2 linked regions of the Tribolium castaneum genome follow. The protein of the gene in region 1 purifies or fractionates together with the protein of each later gene. This does not show direct contact. Links are inferred from orthologs where the notes say so. Each region holds a gene or a part of one and is shown in the gene's direction. Other genes may lie near its edges. The genes, in order: E3 SUMO-protein ligase RanBP2 and nuclear RNA export factor 1.

Region 1 (3,824 bases):
GCGAAGTCTTGTTTGAGAGCCGAGCGAAAATCCTCCGTTTTGACACGAGTGAAGAAACGAAAGTATGGAAGGAGAAAGGAGTTGGTGTTTTCAAACTGCTTAAGGACGCAACAACCATCAGACTAGTCATGAGGCGAGACCAAGTCTTGAAAGTGTGTTGTAACCACCAACTACTCAAAAACATGGAATTTAAATTCATGACAAATAATCCCAAAGCACTGACTTGGTGCGCGAAAGACTTCTCTGAAGGCGTCCTTAAACCGGAAACGCTGGCTATAAGATTCAAAACAGAAGAGCTGGCTAATTCGTTCTTGAAAGCCATCCAAACCGCTCAAGAGTCACTCGATGAAAATAACTGCGTGTCGGGTAAAACCCCGAAAATCGAATCTCCGGTTAAACCGACCGGTTTCGGCGATAAGTTCAAACCGGCGAAGGGAAGTTGGGAGTGTAAAAATTGCTTCGTTGTGAACGACGGCAAAGCCAACTACTGTGTGGCTTGCGAGACACCTAAAAACGACACAGTTCCGAAAAAAAGCGAGAGTGACGCTTCTGGAGCTGCGTTTTCTTTCGGAGTTGGCGTGTCCAACTCCTGGGGCAACGCCTTCAAGCCTAAGGAAGGTTCATGGGAGTGCAAGACTTGCTACATCAGAAATGACGCCGATAAGACACACTGTATGTCGTGTGAATCGCCCAAAGACGACACAATTCCGAAAAAAGAGCCCGAAAAGGGGGTGAATTTGGACACTGGTGGTTTGAAATTCACGTTCGGGGTTCCGAAAACTGCCGACAAGCCAACCACCGGCTGGGGCGATTTATTCAAGCCCAAGGAAGGGTCTTGGGAGTGTAAGAATTGTCTAATCCAGAACAATTCCGATGTCGTTTATTGTGTGGCATGTGAGAGTCCGAAAGATGATACAGTTCCGAAAAAGGAAGGTCCGAAAGGTGTCAATTTGGACACTCCGGGTCAGAAATACACTTTCGGGATTCCTTCGACTCAAGCCGGAGCTAAAGCCACGTTTACTTTTGGCCAGAGTAGCATATCAACCGAGAAACCGTTCGTTTTCAAACCCAATGTCAGTGTGGAGAAAAAAGACACTTCAGCGACTGAAAAATTCGTGTTTGGCTCGCCACAAAAGCACGATTTTGAATTCACTCCGCGGTCACCCAGACGTATCAGCAGCGGCGGTAAAGACGAGGAGTCTGATGCCAGTTACGTGGAGGAAGAGGCTGATAATATTTACTTCAAACCGGTGATTCCGCTCCCGGATAAGGTTGAAGTGAAGACGGGTGAGGAGGAAGAGGACGTCTTGTATTGTCATCGAGCGAAGCTTTACCGTTTCGTGGATAAGGAATGGAAGGAGAGAGGAATCGGTGATTTGAAGATTTTGAGGCGGAAAGATACCGGCAAATTAAGGTGAGTTTTGTGGTAAAAAACGTATTTTTTTAATTAGTAAAATTGCAGGGTTTTGATGCGGCGGGAGCAAGTGTTTAAGATTTGTTTGAACCATATTCTCACTACTGACATTAAGTATTTGCCCAAGGATGATAAGACATGGCTGTTCCATGCGTCGGATTATTCCGAAGGCGAAATAACCGAAGAACAATTTTGTCTTAGGTTTAAGAACGCTGAAATTGCTCAGGAATTTATGAAGGCTGTGAACGATGCTTTGAGTGGAGCGTCCTGTGATACAGGTAAGATGCCAAAGTTTTGCGATGGAAATTGTAATTTAGTTATTTCTGTCGCTACTGTCACGATTTTTCTTATGGCGTCGTATTATTTGTACAGTAGACGGTCAAGTTGAATAATTTACGATCTGAGCTGTGAAGAATTTGCTCATTTTTATTTATTTCATTCTAGATCTGGGTTTTGTGATATTTAAACTTATTAATGTGATGTTTTTGTAACTATGGTGGTAAATCTATTAAATGAATCAGAATTATCGGATTGAAATGAATAATTAGGTAATAAAGATTAGAGTTGAATTTTTTTAATTAAATAATTGTGCACATGTGTGTATTCTTGAATAATATTTACAGCTTTTGATATTTTTTTATAAATTATTTATAACATTATGTTTAAACATTATTACTGACTTAATCAGTGGTTTGAAGGAATACTAAAAGTTTTGACCACATGTAATTTTTAATCATTTTTTAGATTTATCACTTCTATTTACTTTTTACTTGTTCCTCAAGATTTTTTATAAAGATATTTATTTTCAGCTTTAAAACATTTTAAGCAAATATTTTTAAATTTCAATTTGTCTTATTTTATCAGTTGTGTGCAATAATAATTTCGTAACATGTTAAAAGAAACTGCAGTAATTTTTTTTTTCAAATAAACAAAAGTTTAATAAAAAGTAATTTTCATATCAGACGTATGTGCATGCTTCTTGAGCTTTTTTTCTAATCAGGCTTTTATTTTTTATACCAGTACCGGCACAGTATGTTCCTAACAGTGATTCAATAACCATTAACAAAACTGTCGTAGCTTAATAATGTCTTAACAATGTGATACAACTCGCTAAAAAATTGGTAAAGTGTGAGGACGTTAAATTTTTATTATATCATCGTCAAAACACTTTACTTTTTTTAGTTTTTGTTACCCGTGGTATTGTTGGTTTTATTTGGTACATTTATAAAGGAATAAATAAAATTCGTGCATAACAATTGGATTTTTATTTCACCAAATAATCCCAATAATCACCTAACACAGCACTAATTACTACTAATCATAGGTAAAAGTAGTCGTAAATGTTATAAATCTTCATTTATGTAAAATTTTGTAGGCAAGAAAATTGATGAAACATCCGAAGGGGAAGACGTGGAATTCATTTCCGAGACAAAAGTAACACCAGAAGAAGAAAAAGAAGCTCTCAGATTAATGTTGCCTCCAAAGTTTATGTCTTATCGTCAATTACCCGACTGTCAATGCGCGCAGTGCAAAAAAGACGACGAATATTTGAAAGATCTCTTCAAAACGAGCGACCAAAAGTCTACCGCAACCCCTCCAATCAGTCAAATTTTCAAAAATTCGAATACGCCATCTATCAGTACGTCTTCTAGCACAAGTTCGATTTTCACGACACCGAAAGAAGAAGTGTTCAGTTTTAAAGCAGCTACTGAGACAGTATCATCGCCTGCCGATAGCTCGCTCACTCTTAAAAGTCTTCTAAGCAAACCGTCACTTCTGGTCACTCCTGTAACAACTTCCAGTGGAATATTCAGTTCTGCCAACAATTCATCGAATATCTTCTCTTCTCCTGCCACCTCAAGCAATTTATTCGGCTCAAAATCGCCCTCGATTTTTCAAACGGCCAGTGAAACCAAGAACGAATCGTTCACATTCGGGGCTAAAACACCCGACACTACCTCTTCCAGCATTTTCGCGCCGCCAACAACAGCTGCGAAATCAACCGGAAGTATTTTCGGGTCCGGTAGTGTGTTCGGAAGCGGTGGCGGAAGCATTTTCGGCTCGAAATCGACCCCAGTTTTCGGTTCGGGACCGGGAATTTTCGCTGCTACGACCCCAACGACCACAGCTCAGTCTAGTGGAATTTTTGGGGGTGCAACCACTACGAGCAGTTTTAAAACCACGGGTAGTCTTTTTGGTACTCCGGCCACAACCACAACGGGGAGTATTTTCGGGGGTTCACCTGCAGTTTTTGGTAAAGGTACAAATAAGCCGATATTTGGAGGAGGCGACAGTCTGGCGAAAGCGACCGAATCGCCCGTCAGACCTGTTTTTGGTGCTGCGGTTGCGCCAACCGACGTCAAAACAACGAATTTGAAGGATGAGGATGCTCCGGTTTTGAATGCTGAGT
Region 2 (3,924 bases), on another chromosome or scaffold:
GAAAATATAGTCGAATCGAAGATCCCCACGATTGCTAACACGATCTATTACATCGAGAATGTTTTAGTTGATTGGGGGGCAATGTTGGTACGGCTGGCTCGAACCGTGCGATTTGATTGGCTGAACGCAGACTTTCAGCCAATCAAATGGCACTATCTATACTTATGCAAGTGTTTCAGCACTATTTGAATTTATACTACTACAAAAGCCAGTTGAATGACTACAAAGCACCCACAAGCCCGTCAAGTGATTCGGACGACTTTGACCCCACGGATATTGAGGGTGAAACTGTTTTTGCCGAAACTTTATCACTCTATAGGCACATGAGACGCGACTTGTTATTTAATTTATCAGATTATGTCATGTTGGAAGTCAGGTCACAAGGTAAAGCCTACAGGAGGGAAAGGTGGTCCTCTATGAATGTCGGTAAAGACATCAAAGGCCTGTCTTTAACACCCACAGCCTGCCCTATTTTCGAAATCGTGGCTAAACGACTACACCAACTGCAAAAAACTCTAGCTTCGAAACTTTTTACGATAGTTTGGCGCTCGGTTGCGCAACAATTAGATAATTACCTCTTTGAGGATCTTGTCCTTGATAATAGATTTAACACTGGAGGCGCTTTGCAGTTAAAGTATGACGTAACAAGGAATTTACTGCCGTTATTTTCGCAATATACCGAAAGGCCCGAAACGTATTTCGTCCAGTAAGTTATTTACTCAGTCGGTAAAGTGGAAAATAAGAACTGTTGCAGACTGATTGAAGCTTGCAATCTTTTAAATATAACTAAAGGGTCCGCTTTGCTACTACGAGAGACTCTCTTGGCTCTTGAGGGGGCCACAGGTATTGAGGACTCCCGCGGGAGAGCCCTCAAGGAGGTTGGGGTGGTCAGCTTCACCCCAAAAATGGCCGTTAAGATTCTAAACCAGCGCACCGACATTACTGTTAATAGGATGGACGTTGATTGAAGCATTTATACGTTTTGTTGAGAAATTTTATAATAAATGTTTTCCCCACCATTGCATTTCATTGAATCACCCTGTAAGTGAATCTAGAGTAGAGTATAAAATGTTACTTCTGGGCCAGAATATTTGGCGTCTTAAAAAACAAGTCAGAACCTTACAAATTTCCTGTACTCTACTATTCAAAAGTCGGTGATTTTCTCAGGGAATTTGGCCTCGCCTTGTTGGCAGCGCGTATCAATGGCGTTTACTTGTCGAAAGTGAAGTGGTGTTAAATCAGGCTCAAAAAAATTATTAAAAAAACAATAATAGTTATAGTTAAGTGCTAGTAAGTAATTGAGACGCTACTATGGCCTCAAAGGGCGGAAAATACAACAAACCGTCGTGGAGAAGCCAATACAGTGGTAAGTCCCCAGCACACTCCACGCGATTCGTTTAAAACGCAGTAAATTGCCAGAGCATGATTTTCGCGGCGGTGGCGAGACCCGCAAAGTGAGTTTCAAGTCAAACAAGTATAAAAAGGACAATAGAAACTGGGCAGCGGCGAGTAGGGCGTACCTGGAAGATGAAGACATTGACATGGGGGCCTCGTCCGGGGGCGGGCGAAACTTCAACCGGAAGCAGTTTAAAGGCAGACGGGGCGGTCGCGGGGACTCGCCCGTGCCCAATCACAAGAAACGGCGGCTTTTGGAGAGCCCCTTCGGTTGGTACCGCGTGACAGTAAGTGTATTAAGTGAGGCTTTTTGGGGGTTTTACACGTGTTTTGCTAGTTGCCGTTTGGGAATAAATACGAGAAGGCGTTCGTCTTGAAGACGCTGCTCGAGCGGATCCAACCTTTGCCCTTGTGGCCAATTACGGTAATGGTTTGTTTGTGTGAGGGTTTTTGACTGATTTTTTGTCTCCAGTGGAGTGTAAACGGCACAACTGCCACTTTTTACATGGATGAGTTTAAAGCCGCGGAAAAGCTGTACGATTTAGATCGCCAGATTCAAATGCCCGACGGGTTTAAATTGCTGATTAAGGTCAGTCATGGGATGCCAAATGTTGACGTTAATAGTGAGATGAAGGAGAAAATTAAATTAACGATGGCTAAGCGGTACAATGCCGCTAATAAAGCGCTCGATTTAACGAAATTCCACGCCGACCCTGACCTACAAGACAATTTCTGTGTACTGTTCAAACCGATCATTTTTCTAACAGTTTTGGAAATAATCGCGGAGAATATCCCAGAAATTGAAGCGATTAATTTATTCGATAACAAAATAGCAAACTTGTCGTATTTAAAGAAGACCAATGAGAAACTGCCCCATTTAAAAATTTTGCATCTAGGAAATAATAAGGTAATGTTGTTGCCCAAAATCGGGGATTTTGTAAATTTGGGGATTCAGTTTAAGGATCTGTCAATGTTGGACCCTTTTATTGGACTACCTATCGTCGATATTGTTTTAAATGGAAATCCATTATGCAACAAATACAAGGACCAAGAGGCGTACATTGGGTAATGTTGAACTAATTTATTTTTTGTAGTCATCATGTTATGAACGTGAATGCATATGAGGGTGACTGGTTATCGGAGATTGTCACTTGAATAAAAAAGAGGTTTTCTGCCAACAATGGAATAAAAGTACTTGAAAATTATTAACGAAATTTGTTGTTACGCAAATTTCAAAGTCCCAAATTTTCGCGATAATTTGTTTAAAACTTAAGTAGCATTACATGTGGCTTCGTTGCATTGTGGCTGAATTCTGCATTTGGCAACCTTTTAATATTATTGTTTGACTATAATTAAGTCACTGAAGTGTATAAAAATAAAAAAAAATCACATACAAACATTTCCATGGGATTACATAATTTTTGTTTTGTATTATCAAAGTGAGAGGAGGTTTCTCAAAGGTGCGTCCTTACAGCAGTTACGAAGCTTCGTAAAGCGATAGCTGGACAAGCATTGCAAGATTTTGCTGTCCATAAACAATGCAGTTAGTTTAAGAAGACAGAAGAACTACAAGGAGTGGACCAGAACACTTAAATGTGTATGTAATTTGGCAAAAATGCTTGTAAATCAAGCAGATTGTCTTGTTTTTCTGCACCTTAAACAATCAATGACTCCTCATAGTACAATAATTATTATATTTTTTTGTTTTATGTAGTAATCTTATGGAATTGATACAAGACATAATAATGAAAAGAAATACTAAATAATACCGTTAAAAAATTGAAAAATTATATGCTCTTCAGTGGCGATTTATTCTAAATTTATTAGTTTTGTTGTTTAATGCAGGAGTAATATAAATTGTTGATCGTGTAATGCTGTTTTAGTTTTAAATTTACGAAGCTTGTCTTACTTTGAAATTGTGTAACAACTGTCTGATCGGTTGCAAAATTCCTCGGAGGTTTAATTCCCAAAATAACAAACTTCAATAAATTTTGATTGTTTAACACTTTGTACAAAATTAGATTTTCGTAAGTTTTTGAATTAAACTGAAGAGGGCACAAAATACTGGAGCTATTGTATCCTATTTTTTTTCAAATAAATAATGTGTTAGGAAATGAGAAGTGGCTGAAAATACGGTACAAAAATCACTAACTCAGAATTTGTGACTAAATCAATTTCCGTTCCTAGAAAAAAAATCAGCATAAAGCTGTATTTATTCTTTTTCATTTACATAATAATTTTTTTTTCGCCCAAATACTTCTTGAATGAGTTTATCCCACTAATTCACAATTGTAACATAGTTATAATTCCGTTCCTAGAAAAAAATTCAAAATAAAGCAGTATTTCTTCTTTTTTTATTTACATAATAAAATATTTACAACATATTTACATAATAAATTATTTTTGCTTAAATACTTGAATGAGTTTCAACGTTTCATCAAGGGTGGATTTTATAATCGTCAGATAAACCCCAGATAATTTATTTCTAGTATAATTACTATGGTTACAATTGTTATAACAATGTATTTT

Evidence for each region.
Region 2: the proteins of E3 SUMO-protein ligase RanBP2 (region 1) and nuclear RNA export factor 1 purify together in Drosophila melanogaster (affinity purification with western blotting; 3 studies listed by BioGRID, with this or other methods). This does not show direct contact. The link is inferred for Tribolium castaneum from reciprocal best matches to the Drosophila melanogaster genes Nup358 and sbr.

The regions. Positions count from the first base shown.
Region 1 is NC_087394.1:28,918,442-28,922,265, forward strand, and holds part of E3 SUMO-protein ligase RanBP2, read left to right. Parts: coding exon 1-1,414; intron 1,415-1,462; coding exon 1,463-1,692; intron 1,693-2,789; coding exon 2,790-3,824. UniProt on the Drosophila melanogaster protein: E3 SUMO-protein ligase. Component of the nuclear pore complex (NPC), a complex required for trafficking across the nuclear envelope.
Region 2 is NC_087399.1:3,671,019-3,674,942, forward strand, and holds the start of nuclear RNA export factor 1, read left to right. Parts: upstream 1-1,174; 5' UTR 1,175-1,311; coding exon 1,312-1,366; intron 1,367-1,419; coding exon 1,420-1,682; intron 1,683-1,732; coding exon 1,733-1,819; intron 1,820-1,867; coding exon 1,868-2,302; intron 2,303-2,350; coding exon 2,351-2,460; intron 2,461-3,924. Other genes in the region: Rint1 (RAD50-interacting protein 1), read left to right, coding at 1-87, 180-706, 755-968. UniProt on the Drosophila melanogaster protein: Mediates the export of the majority of mRNAs from the nucleus to the cytoplasm. In ovarian follicle cells, plays a role in transposable element silencing regulation by enabling the nuclear export of flamenco (flam) transcripts and subsequent piRNA biogenesis.